Linked DNA regions of Oryctolagus cuniculus. Each later gene encodes a partner of the first gene's protein in a complex. Links are inferred from orthologs where the notes say so. Each region holds a gene or a part of one and is shown in the gene's direction. Other genes may lie near its edges. The genes, in order: STAC3, CACNB3, CACNG1, CACNB2, CACNA1C and CACNB1.

Region 1 (5,355 bases):
TACAGATGTTTGCTGGGTATATTCACTGTAAATTTTATTTAATCTGGTTTTTGTTTGGGGGGGATTATTCGAGGGGAGGTTGGCTTTGTTTTTAAATATTAAAAAAAAAAATCTGTCACTGGACATCAGTCACTGTTTCTCTGTTGCCTCCCTGGGGTGGGTGGGGTTGGAGGCCCTGGGTGAGTAGCGCCCCTCACTGCTGGAGGAATTTGTTGTGGGTGGCTTCCCCTAGCATTGACACTTGACTTCCCTGCACTCTTCCCTCGGAGCCATCCTCCTCCCTGCTCACAGTTCTGATGGGGGCTGGGTCTCTAGGTCTGTGATTCACTGAGCAGCACCTCCCTCCTCAACTCTGGACCTCTGTGTCCCTATCAGTAAAATAAGAGCTCAATGACAAAGTGGCCTCTGAGGGTCCTTCTAGCCCTGAATTCCAGGACTCATGTTGGCCCTGTGGCTGAACTGGCGAAGGTGAGTGATGTTCACAGCCAAGTTGAGATACTGGCCTCGTACCCGTCTGTCAAAGGTTCCAGAAGCCCTTCAGAGGTGGAGGACTTGGACCTTTCTTGAATCCTAAAGCCAGAGGATTGGGTTCTACCTGGCAGGAACAGAAGAGGCTGCTTTTAACAGTAAAAGCTACGCCAGCTGAACTTGAAGTGTCCAGATGTGTGTTCCCTGCCATCTGTGGTGGAAGAAGAGAGGAGCCAGGAGTACTTGGGACTTCCCACAGCTAGCCTGTGGGTACAGGGTGGTCCAGCACCTGTTTCAATCTCCCCTACCCCTCTAGGAGAGATAAAGAGCAGTGGGTGGATGTGGCAAAGTGCAACCCCTAAAATTGCTGGGGTCTGGGTGGCCCTATCTCTAGCCAGGCTCCCCCCAAGAACTTGGCTGACCCCACCTGCGACGCAGTCCTTTATTTCTTACAGATAACAAGAAATAAAGCAGCATATGATAACCCCTCTTTCGTAGTTCAGAGTATCTCTTCCTTCAATTATGCCCTGGCCCAAAGAGAAGGCGAAGGCTGTATCCCCCTGAGATGAGAATGCCAGCCAGGCCTCTGCCCTCTCACTTCACGTGCTGGGGCATCAGAGGTGGGCGACGGGACCGGGGAACCGTAGTGGTTTAGAGACTTGGCCGTCCTCCCTTCAAAAGAGTCTACAGCTCCCTCCTGAGGAAGAATGGACTTAAAAATGACAAAAACTCCCTGCAGAAGGCAGCCACAGTCTCTGGCGTCAAGTATTTCTTCCTTGTTACTGGCCCCTCCTTCCCTGGAGCCCCTCAGGTGGAAGTCTCGGCCTGTCCTTTAGTAACCCTTACAATTCCCTTTACCCTCAGGACAGGATCTTAGTGGAATGGGGGGAGTAGAGCAGTACTGTGTATTCCTCGCCTCATTCCAGGATAGCAAGGTGCCCCTGCAGCTGCCCGGTGTCAGGCAGCCTTGTGGGGTGGCTGACAGGACAGTCAAGTGGCCCATCCTAGCCTGAAGGTCTGAAGCTGGGGGCTGGAGGGCGCAGGGACTTGGAGCCACCAGGAGACAACTGCAGAGAAGAGAAGCCTGGCTCCTAGAGGAGCTCCGGGGAGGGTAGAGTTGGGGGTGATTGGGCCTTGGGGAGAGGGGTTGGGGGTCTAATTCATCTTCCCTCACTTGCAGTCATCTGCATCCCCTCAAATGGGCACACAGCGTGAACAGAAACTCCCAGCACTGGGCCTGTTCAGCTCCTGCTACATGAAGAATCAGGGAACAGCAGCTGGGGGAGGGGTGGAGTTAGGGTCCAGCCCTGCCCAGACCTCCCGTGTCCGATTTCTCTGTGTCAGCTGTGTGGCTCAGCTGTCCACTTCCCTCCAGCCCTGTCATTTCAGCTCTGACACCAAGGCAAGAGGCTAGGAGGTCTACAAATAACCGTCTGAGTGGCTGGTGTGAGTACGGACGGCACTGGGGGGGCTTAGCCCCCAAGGAAGAGGAACCAGTCCTCCCCCAGCACCACCGTCAAGGCCCCAGGGGCTCCCTCTGCCCTCCACAGCCTGACTTTAGGGAACCCCAAACGTAAGTTGCCTCTTGCTCCCCTTTCCTGCTCCAGGATTGTTCTCCCCAACTTCCCCAGTCGTAGTCTATTCAGCTTCTGTGTCCTCTCATCTGTAAGTAGTGGGGTTTTTAGGAGTGGCATTATTCTACTCCAGGATGAGTTGGGATTGGAGGTGGGGGTGGGGTTGAGGGAACAGAGTAGTAGGGAAGGAAAGGCTCATATTACTCTGAAAACTTAAAATAGCAGGCCTGAGGCAGGCTGGGACAGAAGTAGGCAGCGGGCCCCAGGAGTCCAGAAAGAGGGGAGAAGCAGTGTCTCCAGCTCATCCCTCCTTGTGGGCTCGCAGGGATGCACAGCAAACCTGCAGGGAGGGCGTGTAGAGGCACAGCCTACTGGACTGAGCAGGCTGCCTGTCAGAGTGGAAGGATGGATGGGAGGATAGCACTGGCTGGGAGGTTCTGACGTCTGCCGAGTTTCTTCTGGACCTCCATGGAATCTTGCTGCTCATAGCCCTACCATAGGGTCTCTGCGAGATTTTTCCTGAAGCCTCCCTTTCAAAGACCACCCTACCCCCCATGAGACAAGAATGAAAAGACAAGAAGAAAGGTAGTCAGGGATTAGATTTCCTATGGAGTCCAACCTCTTGCAGGATGACAGAAAAGGAGGTACCGGAGTCCCCCAAGCCCTCCCCAGCAGAGGCTGGGCAAAGTGGGGTGAGTCTGGGCCATTGACCGCTGTGTGGGGGGAGCTGGGAAGCCATTGCCGGCCAGAAGGAAAGTGCTTGATTGGTCTCTGCGTGTTGTTAGATGACTAGCCAGCACCTGTGGCTCCCCTGACCCCACCCACCCCACCCCCGGCTGCATTCCTTGCCCCAAACAAGAACAATGTGGCTAGCTGTAGCCTTAGCTACTCCAGGAGGCCAGGACAATCCTGTTAACATTGGGTTTCCTTCACTCCCTCCCTCAGCTGCAACGGCTGAAGCAGTTGTTCAGGAAGGGGTCTACAGAGACAAAGGAGATGGAGCTTCCCCCAGAACCCCAGGCCAATGGGGAGGCGGTGGGAGCTGGGGGTGGGCCCATCTACTACATCTATGAGGAAGAGGAGGAAGAAGAGGAGGAGGAGGAGGAGCCACCCCCAGAGCCTCCTAAGCTTGTCAACGATAAGCCCCACAAATTCAAAGATCATTTCTTCAAGAAGCCAAAGTTTTGTGATGTCTGTGCCCGGATGATTGTGCGTGAGTCATGAAGGGAAGCAGAGAAAGTGAGGGTGGAGGCAGGGAGTGCGGGAGAGGGTTTAGGAGAGTGATATTGGTAGCAGGTGGCCGGTGGCAAGATTTGACTTGGGAGATGGCTGTTAAGAGATTCAGAGTATAGAGTCCCAAACCAAAAAGGGAGAGGAAACTCTGGTGCAAAGAAGGGCAAGCCGGGGTCTTACACAGATGTTCTCTCCTCCCCCAAGTCAACAACAAATTTGGGCTTCGCTGTAAGAACTGCAAAACCAACATCCATGAACATTGTCAGCCCTACGTGGAGATGCAGAGATGCTTCGGCAAGATCGTGAGTAGGCTCTGGGGAGCAAGAAAGGAAAAGTGGGGGACTCGCTAGCTGTGCCCTTGCTGCTCCCCCTCAAGTCATCCCTTTCTTCTCCCTGCTTCTTCTTAGCCCTTCTCTTGCTCTGAGAAGGGGCGAGCACTCATGGGAGACATGGGTTCTGGACCCTGCACTACTGCCTCTAATACTTCCTCCCATCCCATCCTACAGCCCCCTGGTTTCCGCCGGGCCTATAGCTCCCCACTCTACAGCAACCAGCAGTACGCTTGTGTCAAAGATCTCTGTAAGTGCCCCATGTGGGACCTGAGGGAATGGGGCAAACCTCAGAGATGGTTGCATACCACCTCTAGCTTTGGAAGCCACAGTGTGAAACAGGAACATTCTATTTCCCATGACTCTCCCTCATCCTAATACAAAGGGTCTTCAAAAAGTTTGTGGAAAATGCTTGTCAGAAAAAAACTGTGGATTTTGAATATTTTTTGCACCAAAATAATTTTTTAATTGATTTTTTTTTTTTTTTTTTTTTTTTTAGGCAGAGAGAGACAGAGAGCTCCCATCCGTTGGTTCACTCTCCCAAATACCCACAATGACTAGGGTGAGCCGAGTCCAGAGCTAGTAACTCAGTTCAGGTCTCCCATGTGGAGATGCTTGAGCCGTCACTGCTGCCTCCCAGGCTCTGCATTAGCAGGAAGCCGAGTCAGGAGCTGGAGGTGGTTCTCAAACCCAGGCACTCCGATGTGGGATGCAGGCATCACAACTGCGAGGCTAACCATCCGCTTCCTAAACCTTTTAATTCTACCTTTTCATAAATGTTTGTAGTACCCTCATAAGGACTATTACAAAAGTAATAAGTACTTTTATAGCCATCTCGGTTGCAGCGTTAATATTGCCCTGTTTGAGGCAATCTTGAGAAAAATAAGATTTGCCTGGAGGGGGCCAGCACTGTGGCTCAGTGGGTTAAGCCTTTGCCTACAGTGCCAGCATCCCATATGGGCACCGGTTCAAGTCCCAGCTGCTCCACTTCCACTCCAGCTCCCTGCTAATGGCCTAGGAATACAATGGAAGATGGGCCAAGTTCTTGGCCCCTGCACCCAAGTGGGAGACCTGGAGGAAGCTCCTGGCTTCAGATTGTGGCCATTTGGAGAGTGAACTAGCAGATGGAAGCTCTGTCTCTCCCTCTTTGTGTCTGTAACTCTGCCTCTCAAATAAATAAATAAATCTTTTTTAAAGAAAAAAAATTGGCTAGAGCTATCTCCAGCTAACAGGAGATAGAGCCAAGACTGAAAATTGCATCTGCGAGTTTCAAAACCTGTGCTGTTCAGATGCAAAACTGTTTCTGAGCAAGAGCAAAGATTCTAGACTGTCCTCACACTTCTCACAGAGTTATCCCAGACTCAGCCAGATCTGGAGCTGTGGGCAGCCTGGGCAGGTGCATGATTTGGCAATCCTTAGAAGTGTATTCCTTGACAATTCTCTCAGCATTTATTTGGAGAAGAGGCTGAACTTTGCGAGGAGCATGGGTGAAAATGAAGAATCTGCTGGTCACAGCACTGCAGCTTACACGTGCCACTCGGCAGGGAGAAGCCATCAGTTAAGGGAGCACTCTCCTTAGGAGAACGGTGACTCCACGCATGCCCCAGCTCCAGAGAAACTTGCTGCCATGTTTTCCTCCAGCGTCACGTAATGCTCTGCCTGGAAGGAGCCTGGCAGATCTCTTTCCATCTCGGGCCACTTCCAGTGCTATTTGTAGCAACCTCCATAGATGGGTGACCTCATTATCACCC
Region 2 (5,311 bases), about 7.6 Mb from region 1:
ATGCCTTGGGTAGTGCCAGCTGTCAGTTTAACACCTGTCTCTTAGAAAGACTGCAGGAAACGTCCTCTCCCCTAACCCCCCCCCCTTTTTTGCATTTAGCCCTCACCCATCATGCTAAACCATGGACCAGAAAAGAAGTTAGGGACCACATGGATGCTGACACATGTCTTGTTAAAGGATGGGAAGTCATTAGGTTGGCCTGAGAACCAGAGTAGACAGATGTGGGTGAGACTTGAAAGGGGCGCTGGGTAGCAACCTGGAGATATGGGGAGGAGGGAAGGAAGGTGAAGGGAGGCTTTGGAACTCCTGCAGGACCCAGGGGATGGACCCAGAGGAACTTAACCCATCTCCTGAGGGTGGCTGCCATGGCAACGCAGTCTCTTGGGTACCAAAAAGGTGTATGAAGAAGGGCTGCTGATGGCAGATCCACCAGATCTACAGCTCGTTGGATCTCTGGTGGGTGGGGGGAGTCCCAAAAAAGAGAGACCAGGAGATCCAGGGACAGAGAACGCCATTAGAACCACCTCCCAGGAGTCCTCCAGCAGACTCCTCCAGCCCTGTAGGATGGAAGGAACTGACGCGAGAGAGAATGGAAAAGATACAAGGAATCCTAAAGGAATCGAGAGAGAGGGCACAGTCATGTCCATATACGATCAGCCCCTCCCCTGCCCCCCGCAGGAGCGAGCGGGAACTGTGAAAGCCGAGCCACCGCCTCCCCGAGTAGCCACCGCCCCCCTTGGCCGTCAAGGCGTCCAGGTTGTTCCCCCAAATCTAGCAAGAGGAGAAGGCCGGAACTGCCACAGGCACAGATAAACTGAAGCAGGCCCGAGAGAGTCTCAGGACGAGGCAAGCAGGACACCTGTCCCCCCCCAGCTGGGGCTTGCTGCCAAGGCGGGGTGTGGCCCTGGTCCCCCACCAGGGACTGGGGACGCTCGCCCCTTTCTCCCCTTCCCAAGCCTGTGTGGCAGGCAGGATCGCACCTTCGCCCCCACCCCTCCTCGTGGGTTCTCCTAAAACAGCCCCTTCTGCCCCAGTTCCCACGAATGCCTTTGGCCATGTCTGGCACCACCCTTGGCAGGGAGATGAGGAAGGGAACCTGCATCGTGGCTGCAAAGGGGTGAAATCCGCCGTGCAACAGGTGCGCGGAGGCCTATCCAGCTGCCAGAACCTCGGCCCTTCTCCAGGGTCGGGCGACCCCGCCCCCCAGCTGCGCGGCCCCGCACTGCGGGGCCCGCGCGTACGGGCTGGGGACTGGGGTGGTTGCTTCCACAGCACTGGCCTGGGGTCGCCAAATCCCTTCCTCCGCGGTTGCAATGCAAGGTTTGGCTTTCGGAGTCTCCTGGGACGCGCCGCCATCTCACCTGGGCCCCCTCCCCCGCCTGCCGCTGCCCGGTCTCTCCGTTTTCTGGTCCCCGGTTCCGCTCTCCAGCCTGCGGCCGCCCCAGCGCCCGAACCCCGGCCCGCGCGGGTCGCTGCCCGGCTCCGCTCGGCCCCTTCCCCGCCCCCGCCCAGCCCTTTGTTTCCCGGCGGAGCAGTTTCCTGGGTTGCGGAGCGTCTGGGAGCCCGCAGCGCCCCTCGCCCCGCCTCCAGCCCGCTCGGATCCGCCCGCCGCCTCTCCGCCCCTCCCGCCCGCCGCCCCGGGCCCGTGGGTGCTCGGGGACCCAGCTCCCGTCCGCGCCCTCCCGCGGCCCAGGCCCGGCTGCCCCCCGCGGCCACGCCGCGCCGCCTTCCCGTGAGGGCCGGGTGGGCGGGCGCTATTGTTGCGGAGCCGGCGCCGACTCCTTGGCGGCGCTCGGGGTGGGCCCGCGGGTGGGGGGTGGGCAGCTGCGGTGCGAGCCCGAGCAGGCGTCTCGGTGGCAGCTCCGTCCCCGGCGCGCCCGCCGCCGCCGCCCGCAAGGCTGCGGGGCTCGCTGGCGTCCCTCGGGCGCGGCCCTCCGTCCTCGCCCCTGCCTCGGGGCCGCCCCCGCCCCGGCGCCGCTCGCGTTCCCGCCCGGACTCCCCATGTATGAGGACTCCTACGTGCCCGGGTTTGAGGACTCGGAGGCGGTGAGTGCCCACGCCGGAGCGGGGGTGGGGGTGGGGGGTTGGGGCGACACCTGGGGCTCCCTGGGCCCTTCCCCCAGTTCGGGACTTTGACAAACGCCTCAGTGGCGGGGCAGGGCGTGCAGGGGGCGCTCTGGGAAAGCGGGAAGACAGATTCCACGCCGAGGGCGCCCGCCCGCCCAGACCCGGGGGGCCGGGGGCCCTTGTGGCGCAAGGCTGGAGCAGGTGGCTCCGCAGCCCAGCACGGACGGGGTCGAGGGAGGGAGAGAGGCCGGAGGCTGAGGGCGCAAGGGTTTCCCGCGACGTCTGGAGTTTCAGATTCTGGATTGATGGGGGCTCTTGGGCAGGGGGCCGTGCCACACTTTATGTGCTGTAAATGAACGGCACACCAGGGACCTGAGGGTGTCGGGTACCAAGCCGTCTCCTCAGAGGATTGTAAAACTTGAGGCGGCCCAGTGTCTCCTGCCCGCCCCCGCTGGCGCATCACCATAGCTCACCCCTTCCTCTAGCCCGTTTTCTCTCCTGGGCATCCAGCACCCTGGGGGGTGGGGGGGGGACACCTGATTGCACCCCCACCCCATGCCCAGTGCCCAGCTGCGGCTTGCCTGCCACCCAGCACCTATGGAGGGCCAGGCGGTGAGGCCAGAGGGGCTGGAGGGGGCCCGGGGCTTGGATAGGAAGCTCTCTTGGCTCAGAGAAATCAGGCAGCCGATAAATATTTAATTCTCTTCTTTGCTTTTATCTCCTGACCCACTGAGACAAATCAGCTCATTAGGCAGTGATTCCCGGAGCTCAGGGAGAGTGCCTGGAAAGATAGGGCCCAGAGTGGGGCAGCTTCTAAGCCCCCCTTGGAGCTGCCAACCCTGCCACAGCACCTCCTGGGAGAGGTGCTGGTGGTCGTGGGCCGCAGCCTGCCTCTTCAAGCCTCCAGCCTTCTCTTGCCTCCAAGCCCAGGATGGATGAGTTGCTAAGGGGCAGAGCTGGCAGAGCTGGCAGTCCTTGCCTGGGACCTGACTGCTCCTGGGGCCGGTTCTCCCAGGGGGACCTCTGGGGCTGATTGCACAGCAGCTGCAGTGCAAGGCTCTGGTGGACACTTCTCTCTGACACTTGAAGGGGACAGCTGGCACAGCCCAGGGTGCCAAAGTGAGCTCTCTGTAGGGCTCGAGGGCCTTCACGGGACAAGATAGACACGTGGACGGCTGTCTGAGGGTGAGCCTGCTGCCTTCCCAGCTGTCTCAGCGTCCTGGATCACCCTCTTCCCCCCTCCCCGCCACTTCGCCTCCTCTCTCCTGGCTCCTTGCTCTCTCCCTGAGGCCCCCTCTGAAGCAGTAGGAGGGAGATCAGTCTCTAAATAAATCCACCGGCTCATCTCCCTCCTCTTCTTCCCCCGTGCCAGGCGAGAGGAGCTGCAGCCTGCCCACACACTCACCAGGCAAGGGGGGCACCACCCGTGCCAACTTCTGACAGCTCCAAAGTGCTGAGCCTTTGGCTGTTTTGCCGTAGTGGGGTAGAGCAGAGGTAAAAGATGCAAGAATGGGTTTGCTACGCAGCCCTGGCCATAGCATAGCGTGAGAGGTGGGTGAGCCTTGAGGATTTGGGAGTGGAATCATGGATGGAGGAGTCCCTTCTGAGTATAACTCCGAAACTTGTCGGGAGAGCTCCTGTGATTGCCACTGGAAGGTGAGAGGTCAGGTAAGCCAGACGCACCCTGCACTAAAGTTACCCAGTTAGGCTGAGAGCCCTACAGCAGAAGGAAAGCCGAGGCTCCTCGCCCAGCACCTGCTGGGCGTCTGCAGTCTCCGATGTTTAGGCGCCAAAGTGAGTGGCCGTCCTGCCTCTGCCTCCCAGCCTGCTGGCCACTGTCCAATTCAGCGTGGCCCACAGAGCTGTTTCGCGTGTCCTGAGAGCCCTGGAAGGGGGTCTTCCACCACATCCAGCGGTTTCAGCACAGCGTCTTTCTGTCCCGCTGCCAGACCAGTCTTATTTTGTTCTCAGGAAAGATGGACAGCCGCAAGCACGCTCTACTCATCTATAAAATTAAAGACCGCCCCTCCCTGCCCCTCTATGCAATCTTCACATCTTTGGTCTGCTCCACACCATCATTTAGGCTCGAGGGCCTGCCGTGCCTCCAGCTCTCTCACCTAGGGTTGGGCTGGGGCAGAGAACGTTATGGGCAGCAGATGTGCAGTTTTGCCTTCTCCCCTGAGAGTCTGGCCTCTGCCCCCCCCTCCCAGAAAATCATCATGCACAGTAGCCTTGTGGGAGTGGTGCTCACCCTGAGAATATGCCAGAACCCCTTCCCCTACACACACACCAATACACACACACACACGTGCACACACATGCACGGACGCAGGAACCCTTTATCTAGTTTCCTGCTTTCTCTGCTACCAGCATCCTAGAATTAAGGGAAGAATCACTTTAGGCTTCTGCTCATAGCTGAGGGGTGGGGGTGTGTGTGTGCAGCACTGAAGCAGAAAACACAAAATTCCCTTTTCTCTGGGCAGAGGGAAAAACCCAGACGATGTAAATTCCAGCCTCTTGCCTCCAAGCCCGGCTTCTCTTGCTCTTTAGTGTCTCTCCCTCATGGCCTCAGACATGGCACACACAAACACACACATAAACCCTGCCAACCTCCAAATGTACCCTCATCACCCACAGACCCTGCCTATGGGCAGGACTCTGGGACTCGCCTTGCTGACATTACAAAGACTCCCCCTCCCCACATCCCCAGGGTCCTGGTCCTCGGCTGGGTTGCCTGGCACCAACCTGGCACTGGTGTCCCCTGGCGAGAAGATAGCTTTGTGTTGCCTCACGGTCTGTGTCTTATTCGCTGCTAACACCTGACCCGGTTACCCCAGCAGGTGTAAAAGGAAAGAATGTTCGTGGGGGTAGGGAGAACAGAAAGGGCAGTGAGTTCCAGGAGGTACCAATGCCCTAGTCTTTACTTCTCCTCACCCTGGAAGGGCGGGGGCCTTTGGAGTCTTGTTGGAGGAGGGAAGTGGGATGGAGGGGGTGACTGTCTATTTCATGTGCCTGGGAGTGCAGCTTTGGAGGCTGGCATGAATGATAGGCTGCGAATCCTGGATTCAGAACTATCTCCAATATATCATGTTTTCAGTACATCTGCCTCAGAGCACGTGGTGGGGAAATGAGAGAGGAAGGAGAGACGTGGAGTGTGTTCAAAGATGGTCTTAGGCTTGGAGGAGGAGGGGCCCCGATCTTTGCATTCGTAGATTGCACCATCTTTCCTGCAGCCTTGGGGACC
Region 3 (5,276 bases), on another chromosome or scaffold:
GCATCGTGCTGATCCGAAGCCAGGAGCCAGGTGCTTCTCCTGGTCTCCCAAGCACTTGGGCCATCCTCCACTGCACTTCCTGGCCACAGCAGAGAGCTGGCCTGGAAGAGGGGCAACCGGGACAGAATCCGGTGCCCCGACCGGGACTAGAACCCGGTGTGCCGGCGCCGCAAGGTGGAGGATTAGCCTAGTGAGCCGCAGCACCAGCTCATTTTGTTTTAAAGTAAACTTCATCCTCACTAGCTTTTCATTGCTGATGTCCATTCGAGAGAAAGGGAGAGACAGCTCCCATCTGCCGGTGCACCTCCCAAAGGCCCACAGCTACTGGCGTGGGGCCAGGCTGAAACCAGGAGTAAGGTCTCCCACATGGGTGGCGGGGACCCAACTACTTGAGCCAGCTCCTGTCGCCTCCCAGGGTGCACTTCACCAGGAATCTGGAGCCAGGAGTGGGGCTGACACTCCAAACCACACGCTCCAGTGTGTCCTAACCACGAGGCCAAACACCTGCCGTTTCGCAGGTCCCTGGGAAAGTAAAGTATTCAAGCCCCAGCTGCCCTCCGCCTTCAGTCCGTCTGTCCATCCATCAAACCTCTCAATAAGCATCTGTGAAGGTTCTGGGAGGACCTAGAGTGAGTGCCTCACAGCCTCAGTGACCTCAGCCTCCGAAGCTCAGAGCAAACCCATCCACCAGTGGTCTGTGAAGAACATGCTGACGCAGCCATCCTGGATCCACCGCCCGCCATGCCGCCAGCCCAGGGCACCACAGCCAAGTGCTGTTCTGGAAGCCGGGAGCCAGCACAGTCAGGTTCTGGTGAGGGCTCTCTTCCTGGCTTGCAGATGGCAGAGAGGAAGCAAGTGAGCTCTCTGGGCTCTCATCAGGGCCCCAAGCCACCACTCTTACCAGACCACCCCCCAAAGGCCCGCCTCCAAACGCCATCCCACTGGGAGCTGGCACATCACACCACCCCACTGTCTGGGCCGCACTGTCTGCTGGAAGAGCTGAAACCAGGACAGAATCCGGTGCCCCAACCGGGACTAGAACCGGGGGTGCCGGCGCCGCAGGCGGAAGATTAGCCTAGTGAGCCGTGGCGCCGGCCTGCATTTAACTTTGTAAGTGAAAATACAGCCAGGAATCTTTATGACCTGCCTGGAAGAGGAGGCGGCGCTCAGAGCAGTTCCATAGAAACAGTGGTGCCGCTGAGTCCAGCTGTATTCTCCGGGCCTCTCTCTGTCTCTAAGGGCGGTTGTTCCAGCACACGTTCCCTAGCCCTGAACAGGGACAGGAACAGGAAGAGAAGTGAGGAGGTAGAGGTGTTCTCATAGTGAGGTCACAGTTGGCTGAGGAACATGCATGCAGATTCCCAGGCCTGGGCGGTGGGGCTGGGCTCCTGTGCGGGCTCAGGCACTGCGTGGGAGGGGGCTCCAGAGGCCCTGGGCAGAGGGCCCTGGGCTGTCCCTAGGCAAGACCCTGGGTCCCCTGACTCCCCGGGATGAGGACCCCATCTTGGCAGCTGGCTTGCCCAGTGTGAGACCAGGAAGCAGCAGGGCCTCCCCGGGGGCCCTGTGCTGGCTTAGCAGGACCTCTGCAGCCAGAGCAGGTGCATCACCCGACACGAGGTGGCCCATCCCTCGCCCCCGTCCACTCCAAGTCACTCTGTAAAGCCTCCTCCTGCCCCACCCTGGCTCCAAGAGGGGAAGAAAGCGCTGAAACCCGAGCAGACGCCGTCCTGGGCCCTGCTGGAGGCATTAATAGAAGCCTCGCTCAGGCCCCTGACGTGTCTGGCAGCTGCTCAGCCCCAGCCCGCGTCTCCCAGCCCCAAGGCCGGCCCACTCTGGCTCAGCCGGGCACACTAAACTTAGCTTCCACCCCCAGCTCCGGAGCCACGGCCACCACCCTAGCCGGGCCGCCACCTGCACGGGCAGGCGCCGCCGCCAGACCCTACCTGCAGCACCCACCCCTCTGCAGCCGCCATGTCCCCGACGGAAGCCCCAAAGGTCCGCGTGACCCTCTTCTGCATCCTGGTGGGCATCGTGCTGGCCATGACGGCCGTGGTGAGCGACCACTGGGCCGTGCTGAGCCCCCACATGGAGAACCACAACACCACCTGCGAGGCCGCCCACTTCGGCCTGTGGCGGATTTGCACCAAGCGCATCGCCCTGGGCGAGGACAGGAGCTGCGGACCCATCACCCTGCCTGGGGGTAACGTATCCATGCCCTGTCCCCTCTCTGCCTCCTGCCTGTCGCAGGTGCCCCGGAAGAGGTGCCCGTGGGAAAAAAGGCAGGTTTCTCTGCCTCGGGTCCAAGCAGCACCCCAGCCCTCCCTGCCCAGGGCAGACAGAGCTGCGCATGGCACGGCCATGTACGGAGGGCTTACGTTTCCAGCTATTAGAACATGGGGCCATGCGCCCAGAGCAGACAGCTGCACAGATGGGACAAGAGGCCCAGGACGAAGACGCAGGTCCACCAGACCAGGGCCTCTGGCTCAGCAGGGGTCACAGCCCATGTCCCCAGGCTGGGTGGCCGTGTGCCCCCAGCCCGGCAGGTTCATTGCTCAGTGCCCAGGCAAGGGTGCAAACAGGGCCAGCTCCAGGGTCTGCAGTGCCTCCTGCAGAATGAAAAGGCAGGGCTCCTAGTTTCCGGCGACAAAGCGTTTCAGGTAGGCGGCCGCAGGGTGTGGGGCGCTTCTGGGGTGGGTGTGACTGTGCAGGCTGCACCCCTGGAAAGTGGGATGTGGCAGCATGCAAGCCGGCTGCCTGCTCGTGGGAGCCCACAGACCTCCCGGAGGGGCCCCCTGAACTCAGCTCTCTCAGATTCCAAAGTGTCCCCTGTCCCACAGTGTCACCCAGCCACACGCTGCAGGTGAGCCCTCGGTCCAGGACGTGGGGCGTGAGCAAGACAGATCCCTGGGAAGAGTGTCGGTTCTGCACGTGTGGGGCCCACGGAGTTCCAGTGAGCAGAGCGTGTGCCAGGGCAGCGGGTGCTGTGCGGGGAGCGGAGGCCTGGGCCCCAGTCACGCGCTAGCCGCCTGCTCCCTAGAGGAGGCTTCTGGGCAGACAAAGCCCAGCTCAGCTCCTCCTGCTGCCTCTTCTATAAAACAGGAGACTTGGTCTCAGCCACACACGATCCCTCCCAGAGCTCACCAAGGTCCCTCCAAGGCGGCAGCCGGCCAGGCTGTGAGTGACACCGTCCCACCTGACATGCGTGTTCAGAAAGGGCGTCCTTTAAGGCGGGTGGCGCTGAGCCCCCAGAGGTCTTGCAGTCTGCCCAGCCCCTAGCCCCATGCCGCCCTTTCCTCCCCCTGCCACTTGCTCCAGGGATCCCCTGCCCCGCGTGCCCCCGGGGGGCGTGCAGAGGACTCGTAAATCCTCAGCTGTCTTGGAAACGCTGAGTCCAGGGCTGGGAGCTTTGACAGGCGTGGGCATGTGCTCATGGGCTATCGCATAGCGCAGATGCTCATGCCCTCGGCCACCGCTGAGCACGCCCGTAAACACACGCCTCCTCCAGCCAACTCCCTTGGGCAGGGCAGGGCGGGGCAGGGCGAGGCGGCTCCTCCAGGGACACTGTCATGGTCCTAGCTGCTGTCCTTGGAGCCATCTGCCTTTTAAAGTCAGAGCCGATGAGCAGGGCAGCGGGCAGAGTCCACACAAGGAAGAGACAGACTGGCCAGAGGTGACCAGGCCAGCCCCAGGGGACCGACACTTGGCCTTGAGCCTGAGCAGCGTCCATCTCTTTGGCCTCTCCACGCCGCCCCCGCCCCAGGCGTGAATCATGCACTTGCGGCACTCAGCACTGCCTTCCCTCCAATAATCCTCCCAAGCATGTCCCCCCGGCCTTTTTCCTCTTTTGCAAACAGATGTCTGCTTCCTTCCCAATGTACCTTTACCTTCCTTAATCTCCTCGGGACCACCGTTTTCTGGAGCGAGTTCATACATCTCTCATTTATTTGTTATTAACCAAAGCAACAACAAAGGCACGCAAACGTAGCACTGTGTGCATGTATTGTTGTGAATGCTTTTCCTAAATTCACTTGAAATGACGTCAGAAAAATAGGACAGAGTAAGGCATGCCTGCCCCCAAATCTTCCCCATAAAAGCCATGAGGATTCTGGCAAAAATTGACAGGACACTGGACATTAACCAAATCTCACAGAATTCCAGAAAAACAAGGGAAGCTCAGGAGGAACAGAGACTTGCCCATTCCCACGCACCCTCCCCAGGTCTGCCGTGGCTTCAACATCTCACAGTCATCACCAACATAGCAGCCCAACAGCCACTGAGGGGGACAAATGGCCAGCTTTCTTTTACGGCTCTGTTTTCAGAGCGGTCATTGTGCGACCTGTCCTGTGGCTCCCTGCAAGTCCCCACTTACAAATCGCCTCTATCTGACCTGGCTCTGAGCTCTCCAGTGCCACCAATCTTTCTCCCAGGGAGCATTTGTTGAAAACAACTGGAGCCAACTGTGTAACATCATGGCTTCTTGAGACAGCACAAAACAGTTGGTGCTAATAATGGGATAGCCCAAACGCTGGAGGATATGATGTCCGTTGGCAGCTTTGGAAAGTTCCAACATATTCCTGGGCACCTCGAAGGCCTTGTGCATGCACGGTGCTGCCAACAGGCTCAGGAGAGACCTGAGGTCCTAAGCTCTCACCCCTGCCTTATCTTGAGGCTCTGTGCAAGTAGAAATGGAGTCTAAAGCAGAGATGTAGACTGCTTAGCTGAGGGCCCCCGGCATCCCTAACATGTGCTCAGGGCCCCTCAGTAGACTGGGAGAGATCCTGGTCCTAAGCATTTAAGAAATCTCTGTTAACTGGCCACTAAGCTAATGAGACAGACATTTCAGTTGTCAGACACAACAAAGAATACAGAGTTCACAAAATTAGTCCAGAAGTCACTAAACAACAATAAGCAGTAATAAAGGCTCAACGCAGGAAATATGGACAGGCAAAGAACTGAAATGGTAGGGGCTCCATGTTGGGGGGGAGCGAGGAGCAGGAGCCAATAGATCCCTTAGGAAGCTCAGAAATTGCTGTACAAAGATTTTTTTTAAAAGATTTATTTATTTATTGGAGAGGCAGAGTTACAGACAGAGAGAGGGAGAGACAAAGAAAAAGAGTTCTTCCATCCACTGGTTCACTCCCCAAAAGGCCACAATGGCCTGAGCTTGGCCGATCTGAAGCCAGGAGCCAGGAGCCTCTTCTAGGTCTCCCATGTGGGTGCAGGGACCCAAGCACTTGGGCCATCTTCTACTGCTTTTCCAGGCCATAAGCAGAGAG
Region 4 (4,676 bases), on another chromosome or scaffold:
GCTTTACTTTGGTGATTAGAGACTCTCCCAAATAATAGGTGGATATGATAAGGAAAATTTTATTTCCAATGGTAAAACTGGGTCTGATTAAGATTCTCCCTAATTGAAAGAGGCATGCTGGTTGCAGTATAAAATAATACAGGCCATTTGGACAATAATTTGAAATAAAATCTAAAAAGGTCTTAAAAAACTCATGACTTCCTCATTCTACCTCTGGGAATCTGAAAAAAAAATAGAGGCTTTTTGTACAGAGATTTTTCAAAGCAGAATATTCATATTTTTTAAAGTTGTAAGCCTAATGATCCAAAAAAAGAATTAATGGTTTAGTTTATTTTTACATGGTAGTTTAACAAATATATCACTTGAGTAATATATTACATTTAAAACTGGATAAAATCAAATGCATTATGATTGCAGCTCTGGGAAAAAAGTTCACATATTTAAAAAAATTCCAAGAAGGAAATGGAAATACCAGATGTTATTAAGGCTTATGTTTCAGTAGAACAATCATTAACTTTTTTTTTATATTTATTTATTTATTTGAAAGTCACAGTTAAAGAGAGGCAGAGGCAAAGTGAGAGGTCTTCCATCTGCTGGTTCACTCCCCAAATGGCTGCACTGGCCAGAGTTGGACCAATCCAAAGCCAGGAGCCAGGAGCTTCTTCCAGGTCTCCCATGCGAGTTTAAGGGCCCAAGCACTTGGGCCATCTTTTATTGCTTTTGCAGGCCATAGCCGAGAGCTGGATTAGAAGTGGAGCAGCCGGGTCTCAAACCAACACCCATGTGGGATGCAGGCAGCAGCTTTACCTGCTACACCACAGCACCGGCCCAGTGGTCACATTTTCCTTACACTTTTTTTTTTTTTTTTTTTTTTTTTGACAGATAGAGTTAGTGAGAGAGAGAGAGACAAAGAGAAAGGTCTTTCTTCCGTTGGTTCACCCTCCAAATGGCCATAGCAGCCAGCGCTGCACTGATCCGAAGACAGGAGCCAGGTGCTTCCTCCTGGTCTCCCATGCGGGTGCAGAGCCCAAGGACCTGGGCTATCCTCCACTGCCCTCCTGGGCCACAGCAGAGAGCTGGACTGGAAGAGGAGCAACCAGGACAGAACCAGCGCCACAACCAGGACTAGAACCTGGAGTGCACCGCAGTCGGAGGATTAGCCTAGCAAGCCGTGGCGCCGGCCCTCCTTACACAGTTTTAAATGTCATATTTGTAGGCCAAGGGAACCATCTATATATTATTTAAAAATCTTCATGAATACCAAGAATTGGCTTTCAACTATCTAAATCTACTTCCTGTCTATGGTGCCTGTATCCAGAACTTGATTCTGTTTTCCCAGTCTGCATCTTGGGGGGTATGTTTAAACTACTTTAGGACCCTTAGTTCAGTCTCCAACCCAGACAGCAGGTACAACAGATTAACTGTGGAAAATTTGAATGGGTACTCTCTATTTCAGCCCCTCCCTTGCAAGACCAGATGAAGAGCTCCTTGAGTAGGGGAGAAACAGCTCAGAAGAAATCTTACTCCTAATGTGGTGGAAACATAGTGTTAAAAAAAAAAACAAAAAAGGCCTAGTCCCGGTCGGGGCGCCGGATTCTGTCCCGGTTGCCCCTCTTCCAGGCCAGCTCTCTGCTGTGGCCAGGGAGTGCAGTGGAGCATGGCCCAGGTGCTTGGGCCCTGTACCCCATGGGAGACCAGGAAAAGCACCTGGCTCCTGGCTCCTGCCATCGGATCAGTGCGGTGCACCGGCCGCAGCGCACCGGCCGCGGCGGCCATTGGAGGGTGAACCAACGGCAAAGGAAGACCTTTCTCTCTGTCTGTCTCTTCCACTGTCCACTCTGCCTGTCAAAAAATAAAAATAAAAATAAAAAAAATAAAAAACAAAAAAATAAAACTGAGTTAGACCAAACCTCTTTTCAGCATTTCTGAGCTTCCGTTTTTCTATCTTGTGAATAAGCAGTTGTTGCCTGGAACACATACTTAGCTGTAAATTTTTAAAGCATCAAATAATGAATGATAGCTTAATTAATGTTATCTTTGATGACTGAGCAAACTCAAGGTGGAAAAATAATAGAATAAAAGGTCATTGCTTTCACAGTTCCCCACAGTCATGAATAATAGTTGCTATAGTTGTAATAGACATTCATTTCCTGGTTCTTTTTTCATTCAAAATATTGTCCCTTTTGGAACTATGTTACTAATGATTCATTGAAGTAGATGTTTTGGGTAGAGGGAAGTTACTGAGTCTTTTCCTCTTGAACCAAAGAATTTGGTGTTTTATTCATATTTGTGCTTCCTGACTTCTAGGTGCTACAAGATGTTGTACTGTAAACCTGTATTTAACTGTTCACAGAGAACAGTGGTCTTGCTCTAGTTTACAAATGGATGGTATGTAGCTGATGGCCAGATCTCGTGCATTGTGGATGATAACAGGCTGTTTTGTGACAAGGAATCATGGACTAAAACAACCAAGATTACCCCACCAGTTATTCTGTGTATCTGCGCCTTGGGAGGCAAGGGTGAGGGGGCATTGTTGCTTCATTTCTTCTTATTTTTTGTCCCTTTCTTTTCCCTCTTTAGACAAAGCCTGTTGCATTTGCTGTTCGGACAAATGTCAGCTACAGTGCTGCCCACGAAGATGATGTCCCAGTGCCAGGCATGGCCATCTCATTTGAAGCAAAAGATTTTCTGCATGTTAAGGAAGTAAGGAAAATAATTGCAGTTTCTGTCAGTGTGATTTTTCACCTTGAAGCATCGTTTCTTATTGCTGTGAAATAGCTCGGTGTACAGCTACATTTGTGTAACATTCACACTAAATCAGTGGTTCTCAGCCTTTTTTCCCATCCAAACACACTTTTTTAAAGGAGACAGGAATCCAAGCCTCCCAGAATAACTTCAGGGCTCACTTGGGCTCTTTGGCCCAGTAATTGGATACTCCTAGAGTAGATGATCCTTTTTTATGCTTAACTGCTACTTTCTTTTAATGTTTAACTTTGACTCTGTGTGGCTTTTCCTGCTACCTGAAATTTAGCCACCTGGGGAGAGGTTAGTATCCAGAATTGATGACTCCCAGGTGCTGACAGTGGCTGAACCAGACTACTGGTGCCCCTCCTTAATTCTCAGAAGCTAACTTTTTGCAGCAGAGGGGAGAATGAGAGGAATTTGAGCCAATGAGGCAAGAAACACATCAGGAACATTGCTTTTCCTCCATGCTAGACATCACTATCTTTTAGATAACAGTGACACAATCTGTAAATGGGAAAAATGCACCCTTAATTAAAGTTTGTTTTGAGTCAACATTTATCATATGCATTCTGTGTGGGACACTGTATTAAGTGACCAGGAATTCCCCCTACATAATGTTCTCAGTGAGTGAGCATGAGGTTTTCTTGGACCTTTTGGGATTTACAGTTGGAGCGTGCATAGGGCTGATAAATCGGAGGGAACATATGTAAATCTAACTGTTCACTGCTCTGAAGGCTGTGAGCACAGAAGAATATGACTGCCAATTAAAGGAGTAGGGAATTTAGAGGGTGTTGTGTCATAACTCCTAAGATGTGAAATACTGGCTAAGTAGGAAGACAGAAATGATGGAATGCTTCGCATCTGACTTTACAACAGGAGGTTAGATTGATACAGGGTCTCCTCTCGATGGCTGATGCCTAGAGAAAGATCTCTACCACGGAAGGAAAAGAAAGAGAGAATGGATAGTCTTTGATGTGTTCAAGAACAGGCTGATGTGATTGAGGAATGTGAGCGCAAATCATAAAGGTTTAAGATAAATGTTCCAACAGCAAGAGATAAAGTGTCAGCCTTGGTACACATAGAGAAATCATCTGTGAACATTAGCTTAGTAATTATAAAACTGCACAGTGGGAAATTTTACTGTGACAAAATATTTCAAGTAGATTTCACTGTTTCTCTCTCTCTCTCTTAATACTTCTAATTAATCTGATTACCTAAGAAGGATCTCTGTAACACCTCCAAGTTCCTTACAGTCTCTTACTAGGAAGGGCTGCTAACCTTTGAACCCAGGAAGCTTGTCTTACCCATAGTGACAGCATCAGCTGGGAAGGAATTCATCCTGGACCTAAAGCAGCACCAGGAAAAAGAGCAGAAAGCCTTTGATGGAATGCTAAGCGTGCGGAGAGTATTTCACATCTATGCACTAAACCCATGGCCCGAAAGCTTCCTTGAATTTCGATAGTTATCATGTAGTTCATTGCCATATCTTGCTCCGTTTGAAATGGTTGTTATGGAAGAAAAGTAATTCAGAGATTTTACTCCTGTGCACTGATTGTAATAATTTTGATTTTGTGTTTAGAAATTTAACAATGACTGGTGGATAGGGCGTTTGGTTAAAGAAGGCTGTGAAATCGGATTCATTCCAAGCCCGGTCAAACTAGAAAACATGAGGCTACAGCATGAACAGAGAGCAAAGCAAGGGAAATTCTACTCCAGGTATGAGAGCAATGTCAAGTGCTTTGGTAAAAGTTGAGATCACACCACCGTTCCGTACTTCTGTTTGTTGTATTCTGCATCCCTTAGTGTTTGTTTGAAGGGAGACTGGTGGTACGCTTACTGAATACAATACAAATTTACATTTTAAAAACTTAATTCCAGCATCTGATTCCCCTCCGAGATTCGGGAGGGAATCATCCTGAATCATCGTTATG
Region 5 (4,676 bases), on another chromosome or scaffold:
ACGACTCGTGACAAATCAGTTAACCCCTGTGCCTTCATGTCCAATCAGCAGAGGGGTGAGGGGGCGAAACACCTGCTTTCTGACTCAGTGAAACACGGTGCATAGGAAGCCTGAGGTCCTCTGAGGGTCCTTAACAGATAATACTCTCCTAATTGGAATTGTGAATATATTTTCATTTTATTTGAAAGACAGGGACAGATAGGCAAAGAGATCCCCCACCCACTAGTTCACTCCCCAAATGCCTGTGACAGCCAGGAATGGGCCAGTCTGAAGTCAGGAGCCTAGAACTCAATCTGGGTCTCCCACATGGGTGGCAGGGATCTAACTATCTGAGCCATCAGGGTGCACATCAGCGAGACACTGGACTCAGAAGGGACAGGACTCAAAACCAGGCATTCTTACTTGGAGTACAGGTGTCCCAAGTGGCATTTTAATCCCTGCACCAAATGCCCACCTCTAAATTAATTTTTTAAAGATTTATTTTACTTGAAGGTCAGAGTTACAGAGAGAGGAGAGGCAGAAAGAGAGAGAGAGAGAGAGAGAGAGAGAGAGAGAGGTTTTCCATCCCCTGGTTCACTCCCCAATTGGCCGCAACAGTCGGAGCTGTGCCAACTCAAAGCCAGGAGCCAGGAGCTTCTTCTGGGTCTGCCACATGGGTGCAGGGGCCCAAGGACTTGGGCCATCTTCTACTGCTTTCCCAGGCCACAGCAGAGAGCTGGACAGGAAGTGGAGCAGCTGGGTCTCGAATTGGTATCCATATGGGATGCGGGTGCTTTAGGCCAGGGAGTTAACCTGCTGCGCCACAGCACCAGCCCCTAAATTAATATTTAGATAATGCAAATTACTGCATGGTTACATATCCTAGAAATCAGGAAAAGCGCAGGCTGCGTGCTTGGTATCCGGGAGTTCTGCTGAGTTAACTAACTACAGTCCACACTCAAGGCTGTTTTACAAACTGGTTTGGAAGCCGAGAGGATCTCAGACAAGAAAGATGGTTGGCAACTGTCTAACTAACTGCCCACAGAGTGGGGTACACACTGAGCTGCACAGGCATTCTGAGAAGGGGCGGGGCAGGGTGACTGTGATGGTTATGATCCAAGCTCAGACAGAAGCTGGGTCTACAAGAGCAGTGGTGGTTTGGATAAGAAGGAAATACAATAGGGAGGGCTTGCATGGTTGAGAAGAAAGGAGCAATGCATACAGATGATTGTAGATTCAATGAACATCTACACATCAATGCATGGAGCAGGGGTGTGCTCGGTGGTGAAGCCAGCACACCCCTGTCCACCATGTAGGGGAGCACTGGGGACAGCGTCCAGGGCCTCACCTGTGGCATGAAGGGGTGGATGCAAGCCATGCAGGCCAATGCACGAGGGGCTGTGAAGTCCATGGAGTGTGTTGCAGCCCAAGCCTTTTAATAAAACCAAGCAGACGAATGTAGACTAGCAACGTGCAGAGTGCAGGGAGTGCCGTCGGGTGCGTTTCCTTCCATTGGGTCTGTCGGGCAGGGTGCCCGAGGTATTTCTTGCTGGGTTCACCCTTGGAAGGGTTGGCGGCCACCCACCAGACACCCCTAAGGCCCCTCTCCACCTCGCTGCTGACTGGCTGCATCTTTGTCGCGAGCAGCTGCTGAAATGCACATGCAGGGGGATCTGGGAGCGGGGGCGGCGCTGGGGCTGAGGCCGAGAACAGCCTTGGTAAAGAGCGTTGGCCTTTGTGCACACAGGAACCTAGGCCACTCTGAAAGAGGCACAGGGGCCTGGAATTTTCTCCAACTTTCTCACTACCTTTGTCCCAAGAGTGCCTCCTACTGCCTGAAGTCAGAAATGCAGGGCTTACCACTTGGGCAGTGGATGGACAGCCCCTTGGGCCAACATCTGTGATGTCGGCCCCCCCTCCCCAAACCTGTCCATAAGCACCCCCGGGTGGGGAAGGGTGGGCGTTCCCCTCAGCAAGGGAAAAGGCAAAATGGTTTCTGGGGACGAAAGCTCTGAGCTCCAGGAGTGAGCCCCGAGAATTCTGTGTTCCAGGCTCTCCTACCAGGATGACGAAAACCGACAACTGGCGCCCCCGGAGGAGGAGAAGCGGGACATCAGGCTGTCTCCAAAGAAGGGTTTCCTGCGCTCCGCATCACTGGGTGAGCACACCCCTGGCTCTGCAGAGGGCGCTGGTGGTCACCCTGAGATGCCTGGTCAGGGACTCCGGGATGGCCCGGGGTCAAACAACATCCAGGCAGTGGGCTGGGCAGACTTCCAAAGTGAGAAGAATGATTGCAAAGACAGGGTGTGCTGGGGTGGGAGCTGGACACACGTGCTCCGCAACGCCTCAGAGACAAAGCAAGAGGCAAACAGGAAGGGTGTCTGAGCCCCAGACCCTGCTCCCACCGGGTTCGGAGCTGTCACAGCCCTGTCCTCTCTTCCTGCCCTGAGCCCCTTCTTTGGCTGGCTTTGTAGGTCGAAGGGCTTCCTTCCACCTGGAGTGTCTGAAGCGGCAGAAGAATCAAGGGGGAGACATCTCTCAGAAGACAGTCCTGCCCCTGCATCTGGTCCACCACCAGGTAGCCCATGATACTGCACTAAGCCACCACCCAACAGTCTAGGCCGTACTTAAAGGCATTCAACTGGCAATCAAAGCTTATAATCACCCTAAGACAGCCAGCTTGGTGTGGCCAAGTTGATATCACTTCAGCTCAAAGAAATCCACCATTTTGCTTAGCCTGTGGAGCGCTGCCCATGTGTGAATGATTTCTACTGGGCTGTCCACAACACCACACATAGCCTTGTTCTTCCTTTAGGTTCCCAGGCAGCCAGGAACCCCATCGGGAGCTGGGGCCGGGACAGGGGGAATGGCAGGAAGTGGGGACATCATGCTTGCTATTTTGGAAGGCGGTTTTAGCAGCTGGTTCCACCCATCTGTTCTTATCACGCTGGTGGGCAAGGCATCCTTCCTTACCTGTATCTGGCCCCTCCAGCCACCCAGTGTCGCCCCCTCCCACCACACACCACAGCAGAGCAGCAGACGCTGTGGGGCCGAGTCCTGACCCAGCGGTGATGCAGGCCACGGCCCTCGGGCTGCCCAGCAGCAGCCAGGGACACGGGACGCAGACGCGTACATGGCTTCCTAGCAGCGCAGTGTAAGGCTTCTGCCATGGCTCAAAGACAACCCGAGCTAGGGGTTGGCAGGGTTCTATTCCTCGTCCTTGCTTTTCTTTTCTTTTTTTTCCTTTTTTTCTTTTTTATAAAAGTCAGAATAACGAGTACTGGCTTGATCTAGCTCCTTGTGATGGACATCGAACTTCTTCACAGACCTTGATCCTCACCCCAACCCGCACGGCTGACTGACAGGGCATGCGTGTCCTGCATTTAACATACAGTGTAGGGTCATCGCTCACAGTCTACCAAGAACAAGAGGATTCACAAGTACAGCAGATGATCCTGATTCCACTCAATTGCAGCTTTCTGAACTCACAGAAGGAAGAGATCACTTCAGGCAGACTGAGTTGTGCAGAGATGTATTTTGAGATTATGGAAACCTGGGCCAGGTCTCGATGAGCTAGGGCTCAGAGGGGGTCAGACAGATGGGGTGTGTGTTCCAGGTGGGCAGAAGTAACTGCAAGACTAGAGGCCTGCGTCCCTTGGGCCCCATCGCTCCTAGTAACTCGTGCTTCTTGTGTGTCCACAGGCATTGGCAGTGGCGGGCCTGAGTCCCCTCCTGCAGAGAAGCCATTCCCCCACCTCGCTCCCCAGGCCCTGTGCCACGCCCCCTGCCACACCGGGCAGCCGAGGCTGGCCCCCACAGCCCATCCCCACCCTGCGGCTGGAGGGGGCCGACTCCAGTGAGAAACTCAACAGCAGCTTCCCGTCCATCCACTGCGGCTCATGGTCTGGGGAGAACAGCCCCTGCAGAGGGGACAGCAGCGCCGCCCGGAGAGCCCGGCCCGTCTCCCTCACTGTGCCCAGCCAGGCTGGGGCCCAGGGGAGACAGTTCCACGGCAGCGCCAGCAGCCTGGTGGAAGCGGTATGTGAGTGTGGGCTGCGGGGCAGAGGCAGGGGAAGGGCATGTGGACTGGAGAACTGAGGAGGGGGGAGACGCTTCCGTCCCCATAGACTGAATGTCATCTCCCTGACCGCCACTTTCGGGGACACACGGAAAGTGATGGGCTCTCATGGCTTCTGTTGAGGAAGAAAGCACTGGGTAACACAGCCAGTGAACCCCGAGAAACGGGCCTCAATGTTCAGGGACCGCTCAGAACCCACACACAAACCTGGGCTGCACACACACACACACACACACACACACGGTGGCCAGGGAGCTCTGGAAGACTGTGGCAAATTAAACTGAGAATTTTAAAGCTTGGATGCACAGCCAGGTTGGAGCGCCATCAGTTGAGAACACGAGTGCTTCTGGCTGCCCAGTCCAGGGCATCTCATGCAGTCCTGGTGCCACATTTTAGGGGGCCTTTCACAAGCTGGTGCAAACCCAGAGGAGGGTGACTCCGAGAAGGAGTGGCTTACGAAGCTGCAGTTCTCATCTCACACCCATCACGGGCACTCGGCCAGAAAGGGTTACAGCCCTGGGCAGGAGGACGGGGCAGCTGGCTTAGACTGACAGGCAGGCTGATTTCAGCTCCTTTCCAATGAGCTCTGCCAGAAGGAGGGGTCTTTCCTAAAAAGTAG
Region 6 (4,676 bases), on another chromosome or scaffold:
CAGGAAGAAGATGCAGGGGGGTGCTCCCCTCTGGGAGTGATGTTGCCCAGGTCTGGCTGTAGCTCTGGGTCGGATGGGATGAGGCTTGGGAGAGGTCCTTTCTGATTCCACGCGTGTTCCCCCCTGGCTTCCGCAGGGCAAATACAGCAAGAGAAAAGGGCGCTTCAAACGGTCCGACGGGAGCACCTCCTCAGATACAACATCCAACAGCTTTGTGCGCCAGGTACCGGGGAGGCCCGGGGAGAGCCGGGAGGCCGCTGTTGGTGGGGGGCGGCCACGGGGAGCTGGGTCTACTGCTTCCTCCAGGCATCCTTTCCCCTGTCGTTTGTCACCTGCTTGGAACCACCCCATCATCCTGACACCCCATGACCGCTCCTGGATGTACTGTCAGCTGCACCCACTGCCTCAGCTCCCGCCCCCGCCCAGCCCCTCCCCCAGCACCAGGCACCAGCCTCTGCTGCCTGCGTCATCTCATTCAGGGACAGCCTGGCCTGCCTCCTCCTAGCTTGCCTCGGGCTGTCACCCACTCCCCCTGCCGGCTGGCTGCTTCCATGTCCTCCCCCAGGATCTGTGATGGGGTAGGGTGGAGGCATATCCTAGGGGATGAGGAGCGGGGACGTTTGCGTTCCTGGAGGGACCTTGTGCCCAGATGTGACTGTCTAATGCATAGAGAGAAGGTGTAGTGAGGGGACAGGAAGGGTTTGAGATAGAGAGCACTGCAGCCCGGCACCCCCTGACTGCTGGGGGATGGCTGAGCTAGCGTGCTGCCGCTCTCATCTCTGTTTTGAATCTGAACCCCAGGCTCTCTTGGGCTCAGGGAGAGGCAGTGAGGCAGACATGTGGTTGCTATGGCTACTGAGCATCACAATAAAGCCTGGTACCCGAAAAGGCAAGAGGGGCTTGGGATCAGATAAGGGCACGGATGTGTTGGGGAGGAGATGGGCAAGGTCCATAGATGAGGCCAGGAGACTCCGGAAGCGAGGTGAGCCCCTTGGTCCAGGAGGAAGAGGAGGGTGCAGGCGCGTCTACTGCAGATGGGGATGAGGTCCTTCTTGTTGGTTCTTCTGTCTCTGCAACACGTGGCACCCTGAGCCCAGGCCTGACTTCTGAGATTCAGGAAGGGGACCTCGTGCTGCGTCTCCTAAGTATACAAGCAGCCAGGAAATCCTCCCTTCCATCACTCCCTCATCCCGTCCCAGCAGGAATGGGCCAGGGCCAGGAAGACTATCGCTGTGTTTTGTTGCCCCTCTTGGCAGAAAATGGCCTTGGTTCCTTCCGTGTTTGCCAACCCAGGAGGTCGGACCCCCAGTCTCCGGTTCTCCTCTCAGCTCCCGATTCTGACCCCCAGTAGGTGGTGGGGAGTGGGGGGGCAGTCCTTGCCACATCTCTGAGCTAAATATACCCCAGCAGTTTGCACATGTAGCAACTCTGCTTGTAACCTGAGCCCCCTGGGGGGACGGGCAGTTTGGGCCACCCCCTAGGCCAGCAGGGCCAGGCACTGAGGGCGCTGGGATGGAGGCTCCCAGCCGGACCCTGGCGGTGGTGAGCTGGGGATGGGGTGAGGGTGGTACGCCAGCCCCTCAGGAGAGCTGGCGGAGGGGCCTCCCCTGCAGCTGTCTCCTGTGCGCCTCGTGGTTTCCCGTCTCCTGCTGTTTCTGGTGTGTGCGTGTGTACATGCGTGCGCGTGTGTGCCCGCTCTGTGTTGGGGTCTGCCTGTCTGTCTGTGTCTTGCTTCTCTGGCTCAGCGGTGTCTGTTTGCCTGCTCAGAGGGGTGGAGAAGGATCAGAGCGCTGGTTCCCACTCCCCCCAATGCGTCCCTTTACCAGCTTCTCATAGTGACCCCCACTCCTTCCCCTGCATGTCTCCCACTTTCACTATTTGGCAGCGAGAAGGATGGGCGACTGCACCAGCTAATGGCCAGGAGCCTCTGGGGGAGGTGGGGCTCGGTCTTCTTCCTTTCCTAATGGGCATTCCTGGCCAGGTGACCCTCAGGAAAGGATCCCCATGGCCCTGAGGGCCTGTCCTTCCCCCACATTCCCTCCCACCTGTGCCCAGCACCACCCCTGCCTGCACAGTCACCCATGAATCCACACCTCGCGGCTCCTTCCTTAGCATGCCTCTCTCCCTCAGGGACGCAGACCCCTGGGGTGCCCTGTGGCCCGCACTCACACATAGCTGCACATGCTTAGTCACGCACAGCCATACTCTCACACACTTGCCGTCATACACCAAGCATGCATGTGAATCGGGCGTCCGTGCTCTGTTCTAGTAGGTCTGCACAGGCCGTGTGTGTCTCACATGCACTTGTGCATCCGTACCGGAGTTCCCTGTGCTCCAGTCTGGCCAGTGTGGTCAAGGCCAACTTCCTGGCACAGCAGGCTCTTGACCCTGCTTCAACCCTGGCACCTGGCAGCCACGGTGTTGAGAAAAGGCTGCCTTGTATTCTGCTCTTAGCTTGCCTCTTCTGCCTGCACCCCACTGAGACTCTTGGGTTCTTTTGTATCTTCCAAGAGCTGGGGTCTGGGGCTCTGAGTGGGGTGTCCTGGGTACCAACTAGAGAAGCGAGGGAGGTAGGGATTGATCTCTTTCCCCTGTCAAGCAGGAGATGGCAGCGTTTTTGGTGGCCAGTGGTGCAGAGAGCTTGGAGCTCAGCGGGTGGGAGCAGCACCACTGGGCTTCTGCTGAGTGTATCTCAGCCCGTGCTGGGCAGGGGAGGGAAGGAGGCGCGGGGAGTGGAGACTCGTCCCCTGGCACTCCTCCCTTACGCGGTGCCCCTATCAGGTTCCCACCCCTCCCTGGGCCCCAAGCAGCTGTCCTGGGACCTGCCTTAACCCCCTGCTTACTGCTTTCACCCTTCCAAGGGCCGTACTCCTCCCCGGGGCCCTGTCAAGCTCAGCCCCTGGACCCTTCCACCTAACACCATTTTCTCCCAGCCCTGTGGTGTCATCTTGGGCCAGCTGGGGCTTGAGTCATCCGTGATGGGTGACACCTCCATGTCTTCCCAGGCCCAGGACTGGGGGAGGCAGTGCTGGCCCTGAGCTGGCTGTGTCTGCTTTCAGGGCTCTGCCGAGTCCTACACCAGCCGTCCGTCGGACTCTGATGTCTCCCTGGAGGAGGACCGGGAAGCCTTAAGGAAGGAAGCAGAGCGCCAGGCATTAGCCCAGCTTGAGAAAGCCAAGGTGAGAACTGGGGGGAGGGACGTGCTGGCGTTCTCTCTCCCAATCTCAGGCCCGAGCGGGGGCCTGGACCAGAGTCAAGTCTTGGCTCAGCCACTTCCTAGCTGTGTGTCCCTGGACCTCAGTATGCCCCTGCTCACCTGTCAGATGTGGGCTGACATCCCTCCCTGCTTGCCCAGGGTAAGAAGTGCCTAATACAGTCCCCACACATCACAGGAACTTGAAAAGTGCTCAACATTGCCACTTCTTCTTGGAGTCAAACTTACTGGGCTGGAATCCAGGCCCTGACTTCTTTGTAATATTTATTTATTTCAAAACCAGAGAGAAAGAAATAGGTGGAAGGGGGGCAGAAGGAGAGAGAGAGAGAGAGAGAGATCTCCCATCAGCTGGTTCACTTCCCAAATATCAATAATAGCTGGGGCTGGATCAGGCCAAAACCGGGTGCCTAGAACTCAATCCGGGTCTCCCACGTGGGTGGCAAGGACCCAACCACGTGCACCATCCCTGCTGCCACCCAGGATGTGCACCCGTAGGAAGCTGGAGAGGGGAGTGGAGCTGAGACTTGAGCCCCGGCGCTCTGGTACAGGATGCGGCCATCCCGAGCCGTGTCTTCCTCGTTGTGCCCAATGCCCGCCCACCACACCTCGGTTCTTGATACTATGTGATTTTAGGCAATCACTTCACTCTTCTCTTCAGCCTCCTTATTCATTAAGATGAAGGGAGCGGTCATGGAGCCTTTGTGATGAAGCGGTGAGGTGGTGCGTGCGAAACGTGTCAGGGGGTCCCTGGCACGCTGAACAGGAGCCACTGCCCTGATTGTCATCACCCTCATTCCTTCTGGGTGGCCCTCTAGGCTCCCAAGCCACCCACGGTGTCATCCCCCAGGGCCCTCCCCCACACCGAGAGGACAGAATGCCAGTTTTGCTTCCTTTTGTGCTGTAAAAATTCACCTTTGTACGGAAAAACGCACAGCCCACTCAGCGTGCACTTTGCCGAGGCAGACCGCTGCGTGATCCCATTCCCGCGTGGTTTAACCCCTGGTTCCATTCTTCCCCGCATGCCTCCTCCAGACCAAGCCAGTAGCATTTGCCGTGCGGACAAATGTCGGCTACAATCCATCTCCAGGGGATGAGGTGCCTGTGGAGGGAGTGGCCATCACCTTTGAGCCCAAGGACTTCCTGCACATCAAGGAGGTGGGGAGGTCACTGGCATCAGGAGGGCGGATGGGTAGGGGGCAGCTAGAGCTCCAGGGGGAAGGGCCTCTCAGCCAAGCAGAGCAGGGCAGAGTCTGCTGTGTGACTTTTGATAAATAAATCTCTCACCTCTCTGAGCCTCTAAGTTTTCCTTGGTAAATGAGGTGGTAACACCTAGGGGCTGCGCTAAGGGAGAGGCAGTCCATGGCCAGAGAGGATGCTGGTCCCGGAATCATCCTGAGAATGGGCGGCCACACTTGGAAACTGGGGTGGGCACGTCTGGGGTGGCTTCCCTGGGAGGGGGGCT

What was found.
Region 2: STAC3 (region 1) and CACNB3 share a complex: the UniProt entries of both Homo sapiens proteins name them as parts of the calcium channel complex. The link is inferred for Oryctolagus cuniculus from reciprocal best matches to the Homo sapiens genes STAC3 and CACNB3.
Region 3: STAC3 (region 1) and CACNG1 share a complex: the UniProt entries of both Homo sapiens proteins name them as parts of the calcium channel complex. The link is inferred for Oryctolagus cuniculus from reciprocal best matches to the Homo sapiens genes STAC3 and CACNG1.
Region 4: STAC3 (region 1) and CACNB2 share a complex: the UniProt entries of both Homo sapiens proteins name them as parts of the calcium channel complex. The link is inferred for Oryctolagus cuniculus from reciprocal best matches to the Homo sapiens genes STAC3 and CACNB2.
Region 5: STAC3 (region 1) and CACNA1C share a complex: the UniProt entries of both Homo sapiens proteins name them as parts of the calcium channel complex. The link is inferred for Oryctolagus cuniculus from reciprocal best matches to the Homo sapiens genes STAC3 and CACNA1C.
Region 6: STAC3 (region 1) and CACNB1 share a complex: the UniProt entries of both Homo sapiens proteins name them as parts of the calcium channel complex. The link is inferred for Oryctolagus cuniculus from reciprocal best matches to the Homo sapiens genes STAC3 and CACNB1.

The regions. Positions count from the first base shown.
Region 1 is NC_091442.1:59,882,948-59,888,302, reverse strand, and holds the start of STAC3 (SH3 and cysteine-rich domain-containing protein 3), read left to right. Parts: upstream 1-1,800; 5' UTR 1,801-2,041; intron 2,042-2,670; 5' UTR 2,671-2,671; coding exon 2,672-2,734; intron 2,735-2,987; coding exon 2,988-3,255; intron 3,256-3,479; coding exon 3,480-3,577; intron 3,578-3,781; coding exon 3,782-3,854; intron 3,855-5,355. UniProt on the Homo sapiens protein: Required for normal excitation-contraction coupling in skeletal muscle and for normal muscle contraction in response to membrane depolarization. Required for normal Ca(2+) release from the sarcplasmic reticulum, which ultimately leads to muscle contraction.
Region 2 is NC_091442.1:52,304,709-52,310,019, forward strand, and holds the start of CACNB3 (voltage-dependent L-type calcium channel subunit beta-3), read left to right. Parts: upstream 1-1,840; 5' UTR 1,841-2,001; coding exon 2,002-2,046; intron 2,047-5,311. UniProt on the Homo sapiens protein: Regulatory subunit of the voltage-gated calcium channel that gives rise to L-type calcium currents. Increases CACNA1B peak calcium current and shifts the voltage dependencies of channel activation and inactivation.
Region 3 is NC_091448.1:13,143,598-13,148,873, forward strand, and holds the start of CACNG1 (voltage-dependent calcium channel gamma-1 subunit), read left to right. Parts: upstream 1-1,830; 5' UTR 1,831-1,971; coding exon 1,972-2,200; intron 2,201-5,276. UniProt on the Homo sapiens protein: Regulatory subunit of the voltage-gated calcium channel that gives rise to L-type calcium currents in skeletal muscle. Regulates channel inactivation kinetics.
Region 4 is NC_091444.1:44,636,803-44,641,478, forward strand, and holds part of CACNB2 (voltage-dependent L-type calcium channel subunit beta-2), read left to right. Parts: intron 1-2,580; coding exon 2,581-2,703; intron 2,704-4,324; coding exon 4,325-4,461; intron 4,462-4,676. UniProt on the Homo sapiens protein: Beta subunit of voltage-dependent calcium channels which contributes to the function of the calcium channel by increasing peak calcium current. Plays a role in shifting voltage dependencies of activation and inactivation of the channel.
Region 5 is NC_091440.1:100,499,964-100,504,639, forward strand, and holds part of CACNA1C (voltage-dependent L-type calcium channel subunit alpha-1C), read left to right. Parts: intron 1-2,030; coding exon 2,031-2,137; intron 2,138-2,453; coding exon 2,454-2,557; intron 2,558-3,681; coding exon 3,682-4,017; intron 4,018-4,676. UniProt on the Homo sapiens protein: Pore-forming, alpha-1C subunit of the voltage-gated calcium channel that gives rise to L-type calcium currents. Mediates influx of calcium ions into the cytoplasm, and thereby triggers calcium release from the sarcoplasm.
Region 6 is NC_091448.1:23,118,499-23,123,174, forward strand, and holds part of CACNB1 (voltage-dependent L-type calcium channel subunit beta-1), read left to right. Parts: intron 1-136; coding exon 137-223; intron 224-713; exon of another isoform or gene 714-747; coding exon of another isoform or gene 748-982; intron 983-1,383; exon of another isoform or gene 1,384-1,512; coding exon of another isoform or gene 1,513-1,542; intron 1,543-2,602; coding exon of another isoform or gene 2,603-2,655; intron 2,656-3,059; coding exon 3,060-3,179; intron 3,180-4,246; coding exon 4,247-4,369; intron 4,370-4,676. UniProt on the Homo sapiens protein: Regulatory subunit of L-type calcium channels. Regulates the activity of L-type calcium channels that contain CACNA1A as pore-forming subunit.